4 linked regions of the Rattus norvegicus genome follow. The protein of the gene in region 3 binds, or shares a complex with, the protein of the main gene of each other region. Links are inferred from orthologs where the notes say so. Each region holds a gene or a part of one and is shown on either strand. Other genes may lie near its edges. The genes, in order: Odad3, Clxn, Odad1 and Odad4.

Evidence for each region.
Region 1: the proteins of Odad1 (region 3) and Odad3 are in contact, whole or in part, in a cryo-EM structure (PDB 9CPB), measured with the Bos taurus proteins. The link is inferred for Rattus norvegicus from reciprocal best matches to the Homo sapiens genes ODAD1 and ODAD3. Residues at the interface, in XP_024834988.1 of Bos taurus: Leu31, Gln32, Gln34, Cys35, Met38, Glu41, Arg42, Tyr45, Val49, Arg52, Ile53, Gln56, Leu57, Glu59, Ile60, Leu63, Glu64, Val66, Arg67, Leu70, Arg71, Gln73, Ile74, Ala77, Gln78, Asp86, Arg89, Leu90, Ser92, Met93; in NP_001095517.1 of Bos taurus: Gln69, Leu73, Lys76, Ile77, Leu79, Leu80, Asp83, Arg84, Phe87, Tyr88, Thr91, Asn94, Ile95, Asn98, Gln99, Thr101, Ile102, Leu105, Arg106, Glu108, Thr109, Leu112, Gln113, Gln115, Leu116, Leu119, Gly122, Asp123, Val126, Ala129.
Region 2: Odad1 (region 3) and Clxn share a complex: the UniProt entries of both Homo sapiens proteins name them as parts of the outer dynein arm-docking complex. The link is inferred for Rattus norvegicus from reciprocal best matches to the Homo sapiens genes ODAD1 and CLXN.
Region 4: Odad1 (region 3) and Odad4 share a complex: the UniProt entries of both Homo sapiens proteins name them as parts of the outer dynein arm-docking complex. The link is inferred for Rattus norvegicus from reciprocal best matches to the Homo sapiens genes ODAD1 and ODAD4.

The regions. Positions count from the first base shown.
Region 1 is NC_086026.1:28,799,594-28,804,380, forward strand, and holds part of Odad3 (coiled-coil domain-containing protein 151), read right to left. Parts: intron 3,179-4,787; coding exon 3,008-3,178; intron 2,927-3,007; coding exon 2,825-2,926; exon of another isoform or gene 2,739-2,824; coding exon 2,613-2,738; intron 2,460-2,612; exon of another isoform or gene 2,327-2,459; intron 1,215-2,326; coding exon 1,092-1,214; intron 590-1,091; coding exon of another isoform or gene 587-589; coding exon 434-586; intron 1-433. UniProt on the Homo sapiens protein: Component of the outer dynein arm-docking complex (ODA-DC) that mediates outer dynein arms (ODA) binding onto the doublet microtubule. Involved in mediating assembly of both ODAs and their axonemal docking complex onto ciliary microtubules.
Region 2 is NC_086029.1:99,497,213-99,502,433, reverse strand, and holds the start of Clxn (calaxin), read left to right. Parts: upstream 1-1,751; 5' UTR 1,752-1,873; coding exon 1,874-1,931; intron 1,932-5,221. UniProt on the Homo sapiens protein: Component of the outer dynein arm-docking complex (ODA-DC) that mediates outer dynein arms (ODA) binding onto the doublet microtubule. Seems to regulate the assembly of both ODAs and their axonemal docking complex onto ciliary microtubules.
Region 3 is NC_086019.1:105,554,343-105,558,228, reverse strand, and holds the end of Odad1 (outer dynein arm-docking complex subunit 1), read right to left. Parts: intron 2,464-3,886; coding exon 2,300-2,463; intron 2,224-2,299; coding exon 2,126-2,223; intron 1,870-2,125; coding exon 1,791-1,869; intron 1,711-1,790; coding exon 1,207-1,710; 3' UTR 871-1,206; downstream 1-870. UniProt on the Homo sapiens protein: Component of the outer dynein arm-docking complex (ODA-DC) that mediates outer dynein arms (ODA) binding onto the doublet microtubule. Involved in mediating assembly of both ODAs and their axonemal docking complex onto ciliary microtubules.
Region 4 is NC_086028.1:86,006,062-86,009,850, reverse strand, and holds the end of Odad4 (outer dynein arm-docking complex subunit 4), read right to left. Parts: intron 1,474-3,789; coding exon 1,070-1,473; 3' UTR 908-1,069; downstream 1-907. UniProt on the Homo sapiens protein: Component of the outer dynein arm-docking complex (ODA-DC) that mediates outer dynein arms (ODA) binding onto the doublet microtubule. Plays an essential role for the assembly of ODA-DC and for the docking of ODA in ciliary axoneme.

The sequences.
Region 1 (4,787 bases), on a different chromosome or scaffold from region 3:
TCCCTGATCTCCTGGGAATGAACCCCCTTTGAGGAGTAGCAGAGAACCTAATCTGGAGAAAGTGACTGGCGGGGGACAGGGAGAAGAGGGGGGTGCTGTTCTAAAGCAGGATCATGCAGCAGAGATACACGAGGTCTTGGAAGGCATCGCCACTATTACCAAGAGTAGGCCCAGAACAAGGCCCTGGTTCCACCATAGGCATGATCTGGACAGATCACTGAATCCTAGACCATTCCACACTGTGATGGTCTGAGAAACGGAACCTGACAAATAAAACTCCCAGAACCGACGTACCAAAGAAGTCAGCTCAGGGGAAGAGTGGAAGGAAGTAGGGCTAAGGTGGACAGCTCTGCTGGAGATAGAGGAGACAGGAGAGGACACCTTGAAGCAAAAAGGAGCATTTGCTTGCCTGGTGTGAGCCCAGGGTACTCACATGCGACTCAGCTACTCCAGTGGCATCTTTGACCTTGCCAAACATCACTTCCATCTGGTACATGCTCCAGCGCTGCCGCAGCTCCTGCTCCTTGTGGCGTTGGTGGTCCTGTATTGTATCTTCTGACTGCAGGAGTACGTGGTCTCGGTGGGTCTGCTTGAGAGTGGGGGACAGTCAAGGGAACTGTCAACATCAACTCCAGATAAAGGGCTTGGGGCAGGGGCCTCGATTCGACTTAGCTTAGATTGTGGGGAACAGGACAAAGGCTTGGGGCCAGGTTCAGGCATCCAGGTAGGAGTCAGATAGGTGGTCTCAGAACCAGGTAAGGAGCCAGAGTCATAGAAGGAGTAGTCTCTGGAAGGGGTGAGCTAGACCCCCACTCAGATATAGAACAGGGGCCTAAATCAAATGGGGAAGGATGAGAACAGGGTCAGATAGTTCAGGGCAGAACTGGAGCCCATGGCTTGTCCCTGGAAAAGAGGCTGAGGTGAGGTTGTGAGAGGAACCATTGTGCCAAATGGGGGCGGAGTCAGGGAGGGGAGGGGTTAGGATAGACGCCAGGTGTAGGGAAGCCTCTACCTCAGGATGTGTACACAAAGCGGGGACTAGGACCCTCTGGTTTGAACTGGCAAAGCCCTACCCGCTTAGGTATGCACACCTTGCGCTCCATACGCTCCGTCTGGAGTTTCTTCTCTTCCGCCCGCTTCTTGCAGTCAGTTATGTAATGGTCACGCTTCTTGCGGTCTCTGATCGCAGTCTCCTCCAGATACTGCAGCTGGTTCTAGGGGACAGGCGGGCACTTGGTATCTGTCCAGCTATAGTGGAGCAGTGGGCACCACGCGACCCAATAGCATGTGATTGCCAGGAGAGGCTAAAGACAAGTGAATTCTGACTAGAGTCTCTGCTCTCTTGGTATTCCTGAACTATTTCCTCTGAACTGAAACACTCCCCACTAGAGAGAGGGAGGCCCAAGGCTCAGGAAGTCCATGAAGCTTACAATGCTCAAGAAACAAGATTCACAAGTCTCCTCCCCACCCCCATGTTACAGTGAATGGGTGTGTTGGTTTGAATAGGGTTGGCTCCCACAGACTCATGTGTTTGAATGCTTGGTCAGAGTGACATTATTACAAAGTGTGGCTTTGTTGGAATAGGTGTGGCCTTGTTGGAGCAAGTGTGTCACTGTGGGGGTGGGCTTTGAGATCCTCCTCCTAGCTGAATGAGGAAGTCTGTCTTTTCCTGGTTGCCATCAGAACAAGATATAGAACTCTATAGAGGTGTGCCTGCCTGGATGCCGCCATGCTCCTGGCTTGATAATACTGAACTGACCCTCTGACCTGTAAGCCAACCCTGATTAAACGTTGTCCTTATAAGAGTTGCCTTGGTCATAGTGTCTGTTCACAGCAATGGGAACCCTATCTGACTCTGATGAGGGGACTCTGATGAATGGAACTCTAGAGATCCCACTTTCATGTCAGTGACCCCCTTCACCCATGTTCTGGAAGAAAGCCTCATAAACTCATTGTTCTCCAAGTTGGTCTTTGGTGGAGTGGTTGGGGTTTGGTTTTATTTTATTTTTGTAACTTTGTAGCCCAGGGTGACCTAGAACTCTCTATGTAGACTAGGCTGGCCTGGAATTCACAGAGATCCTGCCTCCGCCTCCAAACATGGAGATTAAAAGCATGCATCAAGGGGCTGGGGATTTAGCTCAGTGGTAGAGCGCTTACCTAGGAAGCGCAAGGCCCTGAGTTCGGTCCCCAGCTCCGAAAAAAAAAAGAACCAAAAAAAAAAAAGAACCAAAAAACATGCATCAACCCACCTGTCAGTGGTTAGTGTTTTTTTTTTTTAATGTTTAGATTTATTTATTTCATATGAATACTCTGTCACTGTCTTCAGATACACCAGAAGAGGGCATCGGATCCCATTACAGATGGCTGCGAGCCACCATGTGGTTGCTCGGAATTGAACTCAGGACCTCTGGAAGAGCAGTCAGTGCCCTTAACCACTGAGCCATCTCTCCAGCCTCGTGGTTAGTGTTTTATGTGGGAAGAGAGAGCACCATCTATCCAGGGAAAGTCCTGTAAAACTCTGGTATATGAGAAGGGCCCCCACCCCTGCCCCATCTGGGACAAGAAGGCAAGTACCCCCGCCCCTGCCCCATCTGGGACAAGAAGGCAAGTACCTTGGCAATGTCCCGGGCATTTATAGCCTCTTGGTTCACCACTTTCAGCTCCTGCACTTCATGTTTGGTGTTCATCACCTCAGCTTCCATGGAATCCAGCCGGTTCTCCAAGTTGAGACTCTCCTCCTGGCATATGGAGAGAGGGAAGGCTGTGACTGCTGTCCCTGGTCAGGTCCATCTTCTTCCCCTCCCTCTCTCTCCAGTGTTCCTACCTGAAGGTAAGACTTGAGCTGCAGGTACACATTGGTGATGTGCTCTGCCTCCTCTGCTTTCATCCGGGCCTTCTCCAGCCGGTTCTCCAGGTTGCGCATGGTCTAGGGGACGGCAGGGCTAGGCCAAGTTCCTTCCACCCACCATGCCTCCCCCAGGACCCTGCAGCCCTCAGCAGGCCCCACCTTGGCGGCCTCTGTGTTGCTGTCTTGGATCTCTGCCATCTCCAGCTGCCGCAGGCTGTGCTGCAGCCTCAGTTCCTCCAGCCGTTTCTGCCGAAGGATTACCTGGTGTCGTAAGGCATTCAGCTGGTTCATCTTCTCCCTCAACTGGTGCTCCAGGTGCTCCAGGGCCTGCTGTAGGGGAGGACGGAGAACAGAGCCTCAGCTTGCTCTCCCAAGTCCTTGAGTTCTCCTGGAAGCCCTTGTCTCTCTGGTCTCCTACCTGCTTTCCAGAACCCTTGGCATCTGATGCTTTTCTTTTTTCTATCCGTATGTGAGAGAGAGAGAGAGAGAGAGAGAGAGAGAGAGAGAGAGAGAGAGAACCCATAGGAAAATTTGAGCCTTGTGTGTGCAGCTATTCCCAGATCTCTTTTACATTTATTTATTTATTTGTTTATATTTATTTATTTATATTTTCAAGACATGGTCTCATAAGGTCTAGATTGGCTTTGAACTTTGTGTGCAGCCAGAGATAAATTTGAACTTCTGATCTTTCTGCATAGACTTTCTGGGTGTTGGGATCATATCAGTACACCATCGAACCCCCATTTTCTGAGGCCCTGGAGAGCAGCGGGGTTTCAGGCTGTGTGCTAGGAAAACCCTCCACTGTCTCAGCCACTCCTTCAGTCTCTCTCTCTGCGCACGTGCACCTGCTCCAGGACCTGAGTACACAGAGGTCAGAACATGCCTTTCCATGTTTCTGGGGGCACATGTGGAGGTCAGAGGAGAACTATGGGAGGGAATCGGTTCTTCCACTATCTGGGCCTCAGAGGTTGACACTAGACTCGGCAAAAAGCACTTTTACCTGTTTGGCCATCTCTGCAGCTCGCGATCAGAATTCTGTTTGTTTTGTTTTTTGTTTTTTGTTTTTTGTTTTTTTTCCTTCTGTAGCTGGGGACCGAACCCAGGGCCTTGTGCTTGCTAGGCAAGCGCTCTACCACTGAGCTAAATCCCCAACCCCTTGTTTTTTGTTTTTCAAGACAGGGTTTTTCTGTGTTACCCTGTCTTGGAACTCACTATGTAGACCTGGCTGGCCTGGAACTCAGAGATCCATCTGCCTCTGCTGGAATTAAAGGCAAATGCACCATGCCTGACTTTAATTAATTAATTGATTAATTAATTTATTTGTGTGTATGTGCGCTCTGACTGCATATATGCCTTTATGCCAGAAGAGGGCATAACCACTAAGATAGTTGCTAGCCACCATGTGGTTGCTGGGAATTGAACTCAGGACCTCTAGAAGAGTAGTCAATGCCCTTAAGCCATCTCTCCAGCTCCCACACTCAGATTTTTATATAGGTTCTGGAAATCAGGCTCAGGGTCTCATGTTTGCACAGCAAGCACGTCACTGACTGAGCCGCCTCCTCAGGTCCCTAGCTCATCTCCTATAACATTACTTACACTTTTACTTCATCTTTAATTTTATGTGTAATGGTGTTTTGTCTGCATGTGTATCTGTGCCAGGATGTCAGAAGAGGGCATTGGATCCCAAGCAGCTGGGGTTACAGACATCTGTGAGCAGCCATGTGGGTGCTGGGAACCAAACCCAGGTCCTTTGCTCTAAACCACTGAGCCATTGCTCCAGCCCTGGAGTTTTGTTTTGTTTTGTATCCCTTTTCTTTTTTGTTTCCTTTCCTTTTCTTTCTTTCCTCTCTCTCTGTCTCTCTCTTCTCTCCCTCTCACTCATAAAGCTTAGCTGATGCATTATTGGCATTAGTATGAGGCCACAGGGTGATGGCACAGG
Region 2 (5,221 bases), on a different chromosome or scaffold from region 3:
TAACACTGACCCTGCATTTTTTTTCAGGTTAAGCAGACAGGGCCTGTTGAAATAATCAATCATCTCATATATATGTGCCTCTGAGAGACCTTCAATGTGTGCTGTCTCCCAAGATACTGGGACATACTTATTAGTGTGTTCACCATCAGTGGAAACCTGATCCCTAAGACACAAACTTGGTCTGTCAACTTGCCTCACCATCCATGGAAGCCTGCTTCTTAAGACACCTCATATGTCCATGATTTTGCCATTAATTCTGTGATGTAAAGAACAAACTCTAAGATTTTATGGGAACCAGATCACAGTATTTCCAGTCCCCATTTGCTTCTAGTACCCCAGAGCTTCTTGGCTTCTAGATGTGAGGACACTGGCACTATTTCATATTGCTTAACAGTTCTCAATTTTCTTTAAGGAGGAACAGTCCCTCGGGTTACTCAGGGTTTTTGGTTCTGGTTTCAAACAACACTGCAATTATTTCTACAAATAAAACAGTAAAAGAAAACCGGGGACCCCCAAAACTGGTACTATTTCATATTGGGCTGTTCCTTATTCTTAGCACAATGTATCTATTTCAGGTTGAAAGAACATTATGTTTACAATAAACTACTGTAATTCTCCAGCCTTTTAGATCTGAAGGTTCATGTTGAGGTAGCTCATTCATTTGCATCGAAATTCAAGAGGAGCATCCCATGTGTTGTTGAGTAAAGCAAAGGGTATTGCAGCCCATCCCTCCCTTTCCTTTCCTTTCCTTTCCTTTCCTTTCCTTTCCTTTCCTTTCCTTTCCTTTCCTTTCCTTTCCTTTCCTTTCCTTTCCTTTCCTTTCCTTTCCTTCTCTCTCTCTCTCTCTCTCTCTCTCTCTCTCTCTCTCTCTCTTTCCTTCCTTCTTTCTTTCAACAGAGCCAGAACTTGTCTTAAATATAAACAAAGGATCAATTTTAATGGGAATTTTAAAAAAGCAAACTTCAGTTATAAGCCATACCTAAGTGGGAACCTATTTCCATAGAAGAGAATGTATTTTTAATTAATGAACTTAAAATCACTGGTCTTTTGCAAATTTCCCCAATCCAACGAGTGAGACAGAAGATAGAGAGAGGGAGAGGGAGAGGGAGAGGGAGAGGGAGAGGGAGAGGGAGAGAGAGAAGAGGAAGAGAAGTAAGAGGAGGAGGGAAGGAGGGAGGGAGGCAGGCAGGCAGGGAGGGAGGGAGGGAGGGACGGAGGGAGGGAGGAAGGGAGGGAGGGAGGGGAGAGGGAGATCTACTTTCTCTTAATTGTTCAGACTCCTTTCTGGCAATTGCTCGGATGACACCCCTACTTCACTCCAGCACCCCCACAGATCTCCCTGAGAAACCTAAATCCTTCTTGTGCTCATCACACGAAACATCTATCCAGTTTGCACACCTTACTCTTCTAATTATGATGCAGTCTTGAGAGGCTGTGAACCGAAAAGATGGTGTGACAAGTGAAAATAAAAATTTCCAACACGGCAAACATTACAGTCTGCAAAGTGACAGGCTAGAAAGCTGCAACTGGGACTAAATGTAGGCACAGTGCCTATTCTGGGAAGCCTTGACTGGCAGGCATTACTGAGCTGACCAGGCTGCCTCCCAGACAGGAGGCAATCAGTGTACCGCCAGGCCGTTGCCACGGCTGCTCTGCAGAGGCTGCTTTAAACTCGAGAGCGCCCCGCCCCTGGGAGCCAATTGGTAGCCCTCTGAGGCGTTGTCATGGCTACAGTCTGTTGGGGTCGCAAAGGCGCAAAAGCTCAGAGCCATCTGGCTACACCAGGCTCCCTCGGCCTGGCGCTCCGGAGCCGGAGCGTCCTGGCACTATGCTCTGGATGACACACTAAAATCTAATTTTCTTAACACCGATCATGAACCGAAAGAAACTGCAGAAGTTGACGGACACCTTAACTAAAAGTTGCAAGCACTGTAAGTAAGAACCGAATGCGAGAGGACCCATGGCTTCTGGACTAGATCTCTTTCTACCCAGTCCCCACTTCCTGCTTTCATCAGCAATGGCCCCTCCAAACTCCCCCTCAAGAGAATCTGGAAGGGAATCCCTTTCTGGAGTTCCAGGTCCTTGGGAGGCATCCTGTCCCATCTCAAGCATCTAGTGTGTGATCTGCCCGAGCTCCCTCTTTATTTGCTTTTATGTTAGAGAAGCAATATGGTGTGTTGTGTGTCTGGGAGGTATGTGGGTTCAGCTTTAAACAGGTTGAAAAGTAAGTCCTAGAAAAACACCAGAATCAAGAAAGTAGAAGAGCCATAACCTACTTTCTGGCTCTTTCTAGAGCAAAAGAAGCTGAGGTCTAAGCTCTGGAAGTTTGCTAAGATATCCATAAAGAAAACAGTCATCACCATTAAGAAAGAGACTTGAAGTGTTACAGGCACTGTCTTAGGCATTCTTTTGAAAAATGTATTGCTCAGCAAATCTAAGATGGTAAGGAATCTGTCCCCAGTTTCAGATATTCAATTTCCAACTCGCAGTCATATCCACAGGTAAAGGAGATCCTGCGGTTGACCAAACACCAGAGCATTGTACTCGGACTGAAAAATAAGCTATTCTTGGGCTGAGAAGCAGTGTGATTCTCAATTGAGATTAGAGCAGTATTGTTTGATGTGTGAATTTAGAAGCTGTGTGATAGTCACAGTAGACACTAGAAGAGCTACTGGTCACAATGAAAATCGAGAGGTCACATCTTCAAACCACCTCTGTTGTATGAAGGTGTGGAAGTGAACTTCTAGTGCAGCTCTGGAGTTTTTGGGCCTAGCACATTTATATCATTAGTATCTAACACAGTGTATGAGAATTGATACCATGGGAGTAGTGCCCTGACTGAAAACTATGATACATTGTTACACTGCGAGCATCTTAAAATTCTCAGAAAGTGTCAGGCTGTCATTTAAGTTGTTTATTAATGTGATAAGAGATGGTGTTCTTTTGTTGTTTATATGAAATGCTTTCATCTCTGGGAGAATATCTGATATTTTTAAAATGAGTACAAACATTTCTGTAATCAGAAATTGATACATTAATAACTGGCACATACAATGTTTATTTGATTGAGTACGCTTCGTAAGTTCACAATTCTTCATGAACTGTGATAACAATTTAAAAAATAAAGAGGTGAGGGTATTTTTCCTATTTCCAAGAGCCATATACTATTTGACACAAAATTCAATGCCAGACTTGGGAAAGCTCCAGGCCAATTATTGGTTAGGAGAATACATGAGATTTCCAAGACAATATGAGCTGCAGCTGTTGCCTTTGTCTTCCAGAACTTGAAAGTGAGACCCTATTGCTGAAGACATCACACACTTAAGAGACAGAATTCATAGAAATTGACATGGAGCTGGCCTGGAAACCCTGAGGACTAGCTCTTATATTTTAAAGTGTTATGCATGCTGCCAAGAGAGAGGAGCAATCAGTAGTCCTACCCAGAGAAAAGCCTATGAGCCAGAAAAACAACTGGGCTGGCAAAAGATCCACCATACTGCAAGGTGGCACTTTTATCTTGCAAGTAACCACCAGCTGTTTAATTGGTCTGAGCAGGAGAGGCCTCGTGTCTGGTACTATAATCCTAGACAACTAACCATGGCTGGAACATGAACCCTAAAGGAGAACCTACAATTGCCATTTTCCTAAACCAGAATAATTTCTAACTGTATTCTAAATAATTATTCCTGTAGCCACAAATAAGTGTAGTTTTCATTCTGCATCAAGTAAGTCTCTTTCTCAACAGATAGAGACTATTTCAGAGAAGCACAGTTTGTCATTATGCAAGAATAAGGGACCATGAGGTACCTAACCCAAACTGATACATATGCAACACAATCAATCAATCTCTCTCTCTCTCTCTCTCTCTCTCTCTCTCTCTCTCTCTCTCTCTTTCTTTCTTTCTTCAGGTACCCTGTTCTCAGTTCAATGGTTTGCTGCTAGCATTTGCCTCTCTATTTCTCATTCTCTGGCTGAACTTCTCAGGAGCAGGCTCTGAATGGCAGTTCCTTCAGTCTCTGCTCCAAACTTTGTCTCTATATCCCCTCCTATGAATATTTTTGTTCCCCCTTTTAAGGAGTGAAGCGTCCACACTTTGGTCGTCCACTTTGGCCTGTGGATTGTATCTTGGGTAATTCCAGCTTTTGGGCTAATATCCACTTATCAGTGAGTGCAATACCATGTGCGTTTTTCTGTGATTGAGTTACCTCATTCAGGATGATATTTTCTAGTTCATTCCATTTGCCTATGAATTTCATGAAGTCATTGTTTTTGATAGCTGAGTAGCATTCCATTGTGTAGATGTACCACATTTTCTGTATCCATTCCTCTGTTGAAGGGCATCTGGGTTATTTCCAGCTTCTGAATATTATAAATAAGGCTGCTATGAACATAGTGGATCATGTGTCTTTGTTGTATATTGGAGCATCTTTTGGGTATATGCCCAAGAGAGGTATAGCTGGGTCCTCAGGTAGTGCAATGTCCAATTTTCTGAGGAACCTCCAGACTGATTTCCAGAGTGGTTGTACCAGCCTGCAATCCAACCAACAATGGAGGAGTGTTCCTCTTTCTCCACATCCTCACCAGCATCTGTTGTCACCTGAGTTTTTGATCTTAGCCATTCTGACTGGTGTGAAGTGGAATCAGAGTTGTTTTGATTTGCATTTCCCTGATGACTAAGGATGTTGAGCATTTCTTTAGGTGCTTCCCAGCCATTTGATTTTTTCTCAGCTGAGAATTCTTTGTTTAGCTCTGTACCCTATTTATAATAGGTTTATTTGACTCTCTGGAATCTAACTTGAGTTCTTTGTATATTTTGGATATTAGCCCTCTATCAGATATAGGATTGGTAAAGATCTTTTCCCAATCTGTTGGTTGCCATTTTGTCCTAATGACAGTGTCCTTTGCCTTACAGAAGTTTTGCAGTTTTATGAGGTTCCATTTGTGGATATTTCTAAGACTCAGAGAAAAATCAAAGAAGAGGGAGAAGACAGCTTTTAAGAGTTAGAAGACCAAGATGCTAGCTACTATATAGCATCCCTAGACATGACCAGGAAAATGCAGCCATAAAAACTCAACAGTATAATTTTGGGAACATGATCAGAGGAAAGACAACATTGGTTGACTTGTCAGTGTGTACAGAGGAAATAGGTGCAGCTCCTAGTTAAAGTGCTATACTCTACAGCATTCTACATAGCTTCTCTCTCTCTCTCTCTCTCTCTCT
Region 3 (3,886 bases):
ATGGCTAGGTGTGTTAAGGCCTGGGTAACTGTTGCCTGTCTAGCCAGCCCTTTCGTGTGGTTACTAATGTTACAAGAAAACTTCCCCATGTGCTGACGCTCCTGCCTGAGTTGATTGCAGATTCTGTTACAGTTCTGTGTGTTGGTGTTCTTAGAGACCAATCACAATGGAGGTCAGTTAGAACTGCTTTGTATAGTAAGCCACAATAAGCTAGAACTGGAACCCACGGCCCAGCATCACTTCTCGCACTTCCATATGAGCTTTTTATGATGTTTGCTTCTATAAGCTGCCCCTGGGATGGACCCCGAGATTAGAGAGACACCTGCACCAATATAAGAAGCCATTTGGAGTAAAACTTCCGTTTTGAGTAGAAGTCAAAGAAAGTTTAAATTCCCAAGGCCTCCCTAGGAATTGACATTCTACTTGACAGAAAGAGGCATGGACATCCTGGTTGGCAAAGTTGAGACATGAACGTTAGGGAAGCCAAGTCCCGCACCACAGTTGAAGAACCCATCCAATGAGAACAGGATAAATGTAAAACAAAGACTTGTTCCTAAGAAGTCCTCTATTCCTATGTCCTGATTGGTGGAATAGCTTGGCACAGATATTTGTGGACCTCAGGCTTCAGAGCTCTGTAGAATTCAGGCTGGGGGTCGCAGTTTAGCTCCCGAGCCTGAACTTGGGCCGTGCCTTCAGTAAACCAGCCAGCCCTATTTGACTGAGATTGGTATCCGGGCAGTTCGTGCAGTGATTCCCAGACCCCGACAGATGGATTAATGCATGCATGCAGGGGTAGGCAGACATAGGGAGGGGCTCACAATTTTTTCTCTCTAAGCTGGAAACAGAAGGCATGAGGTCTGAACACACTTGTAGGAGCCGGGCTTGGAAAAACGGGGCTCTGACCTTTATTTCCTATTGTCACGGTTCACCTAAGTCAATGGAGGGAAATCCAGTTAGGAGACAGAGACATCAGATGAAGGGAAGCTTCGGGGAGAGGTTGAGGAGGGCAGAGACGGGAAGCAAGGAGGAGGAGGAGGGCAACAGAGAGTCAAGGCCAAGGCAGGGTAACGATGGGAGCAGATGGGAAGAGACGGAGGGAAGCTCAAGAGGCCTGGGCTTACAGGGATTGGAAAGGAGTCTCTGGGGAAGAGCAGGGCACAAATTAGAAAACCTGCCAAGGGTTGAGACAGAAGGGGACCTGCAACCCTAGTTATAGCCCCTCGAGTCCTTGCTGGTAGCAGAGCTGGGCCTGGAGGCGGGGGCAGCACTGGATGTCTGGCCACTGCCGGAGCTGAAGCCTCTACTCATCTCGGATCCCATGCTTTGGCTGTGACCGCCTCCTGTCCCGCTCTCGCGGCCTCTGCTGGTCTCTAGATACCCAGTAGACCCCAGGTAGCTGCTGGAGCTAGTGTGTTTGAAGGCCCCACGCCCCCCCTGAGAGCCCCGGCCGGACACAGGTAGTCCACTGGCACTGGTGGAAGCCAAGGTCACAGGGCCTGGAGCAGAAGCAGAGTCACCAAAGGTGACATGGCTTATGGAGCCAGTGCCACGGCCTCGGCCTGTCTTGTGGCTCAGGATAGACTCAGGGACTACGCTGGCCTTTCTAGCGTGCACAGAGGCAGCTGCTAAGGAGATGCGTGGGCTGGAAAGAGTCAAACTTGGGCTGCTGTCCCGCTTCTTTGGAGACCCCTCCTCATCCTGGAGCTGCACCTGGAAGTGGGCAATATTAGGGGGTCAACGGGTTTAGAAATCCTTCCTACCGCCCCCTGGCCCGAGAGCCCCTCTCTCACCAACTTCATGACTTGACTCAGCAGTTCCTCCTTGCTCATAGGGTAATCGTCTTTGATTACAACCCCTGAGGAGTCCTCCCTCAGGTGGGAGAAAGGTAGAAAGTCTGGTTTCATAGGTCTGCCTCATACATAGATCCCAGCCGTCCTGTTCCTGCCCCCTCCCCTTGGAGCATCAGCACCCCATCTTCGCACTCTATCCCGACCTCCCTCCAAGCTCTCATTGCACCCGTTGTGCCTGAGAAAGCCATATCCGAAAGCCATACCCATGCCCTCCACCCCACCCCTTTTGTCTGCCCCCTGTGGTCAGCCCCTTCCCTGCTGGGCCCAAGCCTCACATGGTGTCAGGAGGCTTGAGTGGGGTAGTCTTCTTTGGGGGTTCCTGTATGCTCTGACCCAGTGCCAGAAGCGCAGCATCAGCCAAAGGGACATTGTTCTGAGAGTGTGGGAGTCTAGAGTTAGTGCAGGCCTGGCCAAGCCTGATGCCAACACCCAAGTCCCTGCCTACTCACCTGGACCTCAAGGAAGGCCTGCACCGTGAGAAGCTGCACCAGCCGCTTCTCAATGGTACTCAGGAAGAGACCTATGTCCCTATCCCGCATGTAGGTCTTGACCCCAAGGAGATCCTTGATGACACTGTTGTCACACTGAGCCTTGTCGAAGAGAACCTGGATATCTGGGATCAAAGAGGAATATTTGTCAGGGCCCCTGTGCTCCCCTCACACGGTACATAACCACAGCCTCCCTGCAAAGGCAAGTTTCAAAGAGCGAATGACTCTGTGCAGCCCAGACAGCCAGGCACAACGTCCATTGGCCTAGCCTCAGGTTCAAGAGGGTAAAGGGAGAGTTACCATGACGCTGCCTTGGTGGTACACGTTGGCTGAAAACAAACCTCATTCCCACCAGCTCAATAATGCCAGGGCTCAGATCCCACCTGGAACACATGCATCCCAGAAGCCACCAGGTTACCACCCCTTGCCCTAAGCCCCATGTTTCCAGTTGTATTTAATTGGTGAACAGACTGATGGTAATGACAGAAACACCATAGCTGAGTCCTGTCTCCCCTCACAAGTGAGCCTGTCCCTCCAGCTGCCCTCCTTAGAAGCCTTGTGACATCCCTGGATATTCTTTAAACATATATCGTGATTGATTCTGGTTCATGTTTAACTTCCTAAAGGATGTCTTGGCTACTCTGCTAAGAGGAAATAACAGAAAGAGGGACAACTTTGTAACAGCCACTATTATAGGTGGAAGTGCATCCCTCTAGGTTCCTCCTTTGGAAGTCTAAACGTCCCCAGTGCCTCGGGATGTGATTTCTTAGGAGACAAGGCCCCTTGGAGTACGGTAACTGCTAACGCAAGAGGACACACTATGTGCTTCAGACACACCTAACCTTGTAAAACAGATAGGAAAACAAGCACACATATACACATACACAAACACACACATCTGTACCTATGTGCACACCTGTATAGCAGAGCACACACATGGACACCTACATGCAAAAACAAGGGAGACAGAATGGACCCACGGTGTAGACATTCAATGCGTCAAGTTGCAAGATGGAGGAAATTAAGCCATTCAGAATCAAAGAGGCACACAGGAGCACACCCGCCCTCACGCCCTCTGAAGGACCAGCTCTTCTGACCTCCAGACTGTAAGAAATGCCTACGCTTGAAGCTATGCAGCCCTTGGTTTTGATGGACAGCCCACAAGATGATGCTCACGCCAAGAAGTGGAGTATTCAGGAACCAAGATCGAGACAGCACTAGACATCCCCCAGTGCATTACCACCCTGCCGTGATATGATGTTGCTGACACCCTCCGAGACATTGACAAACAAAAATCAAATAAACGTGGCACAGCAGCTAATGTGCCACCATCCCGCTAGGTGTCAAAATGAAAGGCCAGCAGCAAAAGGTCAAAGTTTCCAGTGAGACAACGAAGTTACAGGCACATTCGTGCGTCAGAGAGAAGGGCCACCTGCTGAGCTCTGCTAGGAGCCACAGCACCCCAAACCTTTCTGTCCCTCTCCATCTTTACCCTCCACCATCACCCTACCCAAGCCCTGTAGACTAGACACAGTCATTTCCAGAGAC
Region 4 (3,789 bases), on a different chromosome or scaffold from region 3:
CTTTTTATTTCATTGAGACAGGCTTTCTCTGTCCGGCTCTGGCTATCCTGGAACTCACTGTGTAGACCAGGCTGGCCTCAAACTCACAGAGATCTGTCTGCCTCTGCCTCTACAATGGCTGGGACTAAAGGTGTGCATCGACACCGACTGGCTTAATAGATTACTTTTATTTTATATATATTGGTGTTTTGCCTGCATATGTGTCTGTGTGGGGGTTTAGAACCTCCTGGAACTAGAGTTACAGACAGTTGGGAGCTGCCATCTGAGTGCTGGGAATTGAACTCAGGTCCTCTTGAAGAGCTCAAGCCTGCTAAGCCATCTCTCCAGCCTCATTTCAGATGGTTGGGAGCCACCATGTGGTTGCTAGGAATTGAACTCAGCACAGCTGTTAACCGCTGGGCCATCTCTCCAGCCCAGCCTCGATCCTTTTGGGGCCAGATGTTTACACGCCAACTCTGGGAAATCACAGCCTTCTGGGTGGCATTTCTGCGGTGTTCTAGTAACTAATCTTCCCAGGGCAGCCTGAGCTGCACAGAGGCGGCGGTGGGCCCTCAGGACTCTTTCCCAGACAGTCTGCCTGTAGGTCCAGCTTCTACTCTGATCTATTCTGAAGGCCTACAGGCTTTATAAGATGGCTCACAATCTGATAATCTCAGCTGAGCTGTGGTTTCTGTCTATCCTCATCCCACTGCTCGGCCTTGTGCACATAGCGTATCTCCGGGGAAACTGAGCCAGTGGCCGAGAAGCAGGCAGAAACGCTTCTGTTCTCGGGGCTTTCTTTTCCTGTTCTCTCAGTGCTCTCTGGAGCTCACCTGCTTCCCCCCCACCCACCCCGCTCATCTCTTCTGTTGGTCCCTACTGAGAATGAGGGGTAGGAGGAGGCGCAGTGACTCACTCACTCAAGATCTATAAAAATGAAAGACGCATATTTAATGGGGGAGCAGGGGCACATGGGGTATGGTATGTAGGAGTCAGTCTCCCAGCTCGTCCTATCCAGACGTCTCACCTGGGAACACTGGCCGCCTGAACCTCGAGCTCACTAAGCCAGCCCTCAGCCTTTCCTCAGTTGTTAAATAGTTTCCGATTTCGATTCGTCCTCTTCTGTTTTCTCCAGCCTCTCCTCCATGGCTGTTTCTGATGGCTTCTCCTGGTTTTGGCTGATATCATCTAGGGTTGGTTGGGTGGAGTCCTCTGAGATCCTTCGGTAGATTTCCCTGGACTCTCTTCTCATCATTTGGCTTGTCGAAGGGGTGTCTCCCAACATCATTTTGCTGCTCGTGAGTCCTGAGCTGCTTCCGTCTTGCTCCTCCACCCTCAGCAGCCTCTGCTTCGACCCCTCTTCATCTTCCGTGGCCTCTCTCTCACTCTCCAGTTCCCTCTCCCACTGCTTCACCACCCTCTCCTGCTCTTCTCGACCTCGTCTCGTTTCCTTCTCCGATGCTCCCGAAAACTCCATCTGTGAACTGATGTCCTCTGGAAAACAGAACGGGGTGGTGCAGGATGAGACAGCCTGCCTGGGCTTCTCCGAGCGAGCGAGCGAGCGAGCGAGCGCAGCAAGGACGGGAGGGTGGCCTTGGTCACATGGCCACACGCTTCCCAAAGGAGAGGACCGGCCATTGCTCGGGTCCTGAAGAAGTTCTGCTCTGGCATCGGGTGAGATGCTGCATGCTCCATTACCGTGCAATTGCGAGGGAGACTGGCGCAGAGGAGATCTCACCACGATCCCCCTCCGAGAAAGAACAAAACCAGAACTTCAACCCTGGACCGCCTGACCCCAAAAATACCCGGCTCCTTTCCCTACAAGAAATGACACAGGGGCTGGGGATTTAGCTCAGTGGTAGAGTGCTTGCCTAGCAAGCGCAAGGCCCTGGGTTCGGTCCCCAGCTCCGAAAAAAAGAAAAAGAAAAAAAAAAAAAAAAGAAATGACACGGGGCTGGAGAGGTGGCTCAGTGGTTAAGAGAACTGACTGCTCTTCCAGAGGTCCTGAGTTCAAATCCCAGCAACCACATGGTGGCTCACGACCATCTGTAATGGGATCTGATGCCCTCTTCTGGTGTGTCTGAAGACAGCGACAGTGTGCTCATATACAAAGAAAGAGATGGCGTAGGTACTTATTCTTTTTTCTTTTTTTTAAAGATTTATTTATGTGAGTTTACTGTCCATGTCTTCAGACACACCAGAAGAAGGCATTGGACTCCATTACAGGTAGTTGTGAGCCACCATGTGGTTGCTGGGAATTGAACTCAGGACCTCTGGAAGAGCAGTCAGTGCTCTTTTTTTTTTTTTTTTTTTTTTTTTTTTTGGTTCTTTTTTTTCGGAGCTGGGGACCGAACCCAGGGCCTTGCGCTTCCTAGGCAAGCGCTCTACCACTGAGCTAAATCCCCAACCCCGCAGTCAGTGCTCTTAACCACTGAGCCATCTCTCTAGCCCATGGGTGTTCATTCTCTGGTCCACACCGTGTAAGCAGCCATTGCCACAGGCTCCTGGTCTGAAACATCACTCTGTATCAGAACCTCCCATAACCTCGCCTTCACCGCTGGGATGCAAAAAACATCCTTCCTCCCTTGACAAAAATGGCATGGGTGTTGAGGAGTGACATGGGGTCTTTTTTCCAGTGACTCCCGATCCTGCCACCTTTGCACTGGTCCCTGGGGAGCAGTCAGTGTTGAGTTCTTTTGTAAACATATGAGCGGGCCGTAAGCAAGAGGGGCTGCTGGAGAGCTGCCGTCCTATAACTCTTGCTCTTTGTCTGATAACTGCAGAAAAGTCACCATCACCTCCTGGGTATCCTTCACGCTCTTCTTCTGGAAGCTGCTCATAGGGAAGTCATCGAGAGTGGTTTAACAAGGTCTCAGTCATTCCGAGGTAAAAAGATAAACAACAGTGCCCTCTTCTGTTCAGACAAGGAAGTGTCTTCTTGAGAAGGCAGGGGATCTGCAGGTGGCAGGCCCAGGGGAGGGGAAACTGCTTCCTGGCCCATCCCCCTCTCCCTAGCCCTCTTCCCCTAGCTATCCCTTCCGTGGCTTGTTGACTGCTCCATGCAACCTACAAACAGAGGCCTGACCTCTCTTTGAGGGAATCAGCTACCACCACTGGGCAGGCACTGGAGAGATGGAGCCCTGAGAGTTGAGGCACACACCTGTAAACCCAGGACTTGGGGGATAGAGGCTAGGGGAGGATCAGGAGTTGATGACCATTCCCAGCTACAGAGGAAATCTGAGGCCAGCCCGGCATACAGGAGACCTTGCTTCAAAACAAAAAGGACAAACCAAAACGAACAGTTGTGGAGGCCTGGAAAATCCCAGCTCTCAGGAGGTTGAAGCAGGAGCAAATGTGACTAACTGGACAAGACTGGAATCAGAGGTCAGCCTCTCATTTCTACATACATGGTACACATGTGTATCAGCACACATACGTGTGCGATAAGGGGATGCTGTCATCTAGCTGCTCTGCTGTGGGAGCCATGGGGACTAGGAAGAACTTGCCCTTGAACCTTGGGGTGGTTGGGGGTGTTAGCTAATAATCCACACTGGACTCTGTCTCCTGGACCCCTCCCCACCACCCACTGTATCACGGCCAAGAGGTCACGGTCTTCCAGAGCGAGGCAAGGGCCGTCTGTTACCAAAATCATTGTGGAATCGTGGTTGAGGCCCTGAGGCCCAGGATCTAAAGCTAGATGGCCAGACTGAAAACCTCTGTGGATTTCCAAGCCCCTCTTCAACAAGTGTTCCCAGTAAGAGGGTGGCAGTGCCCAACACACTACCAGAATGCCCAGCAGCAGGGCATCAA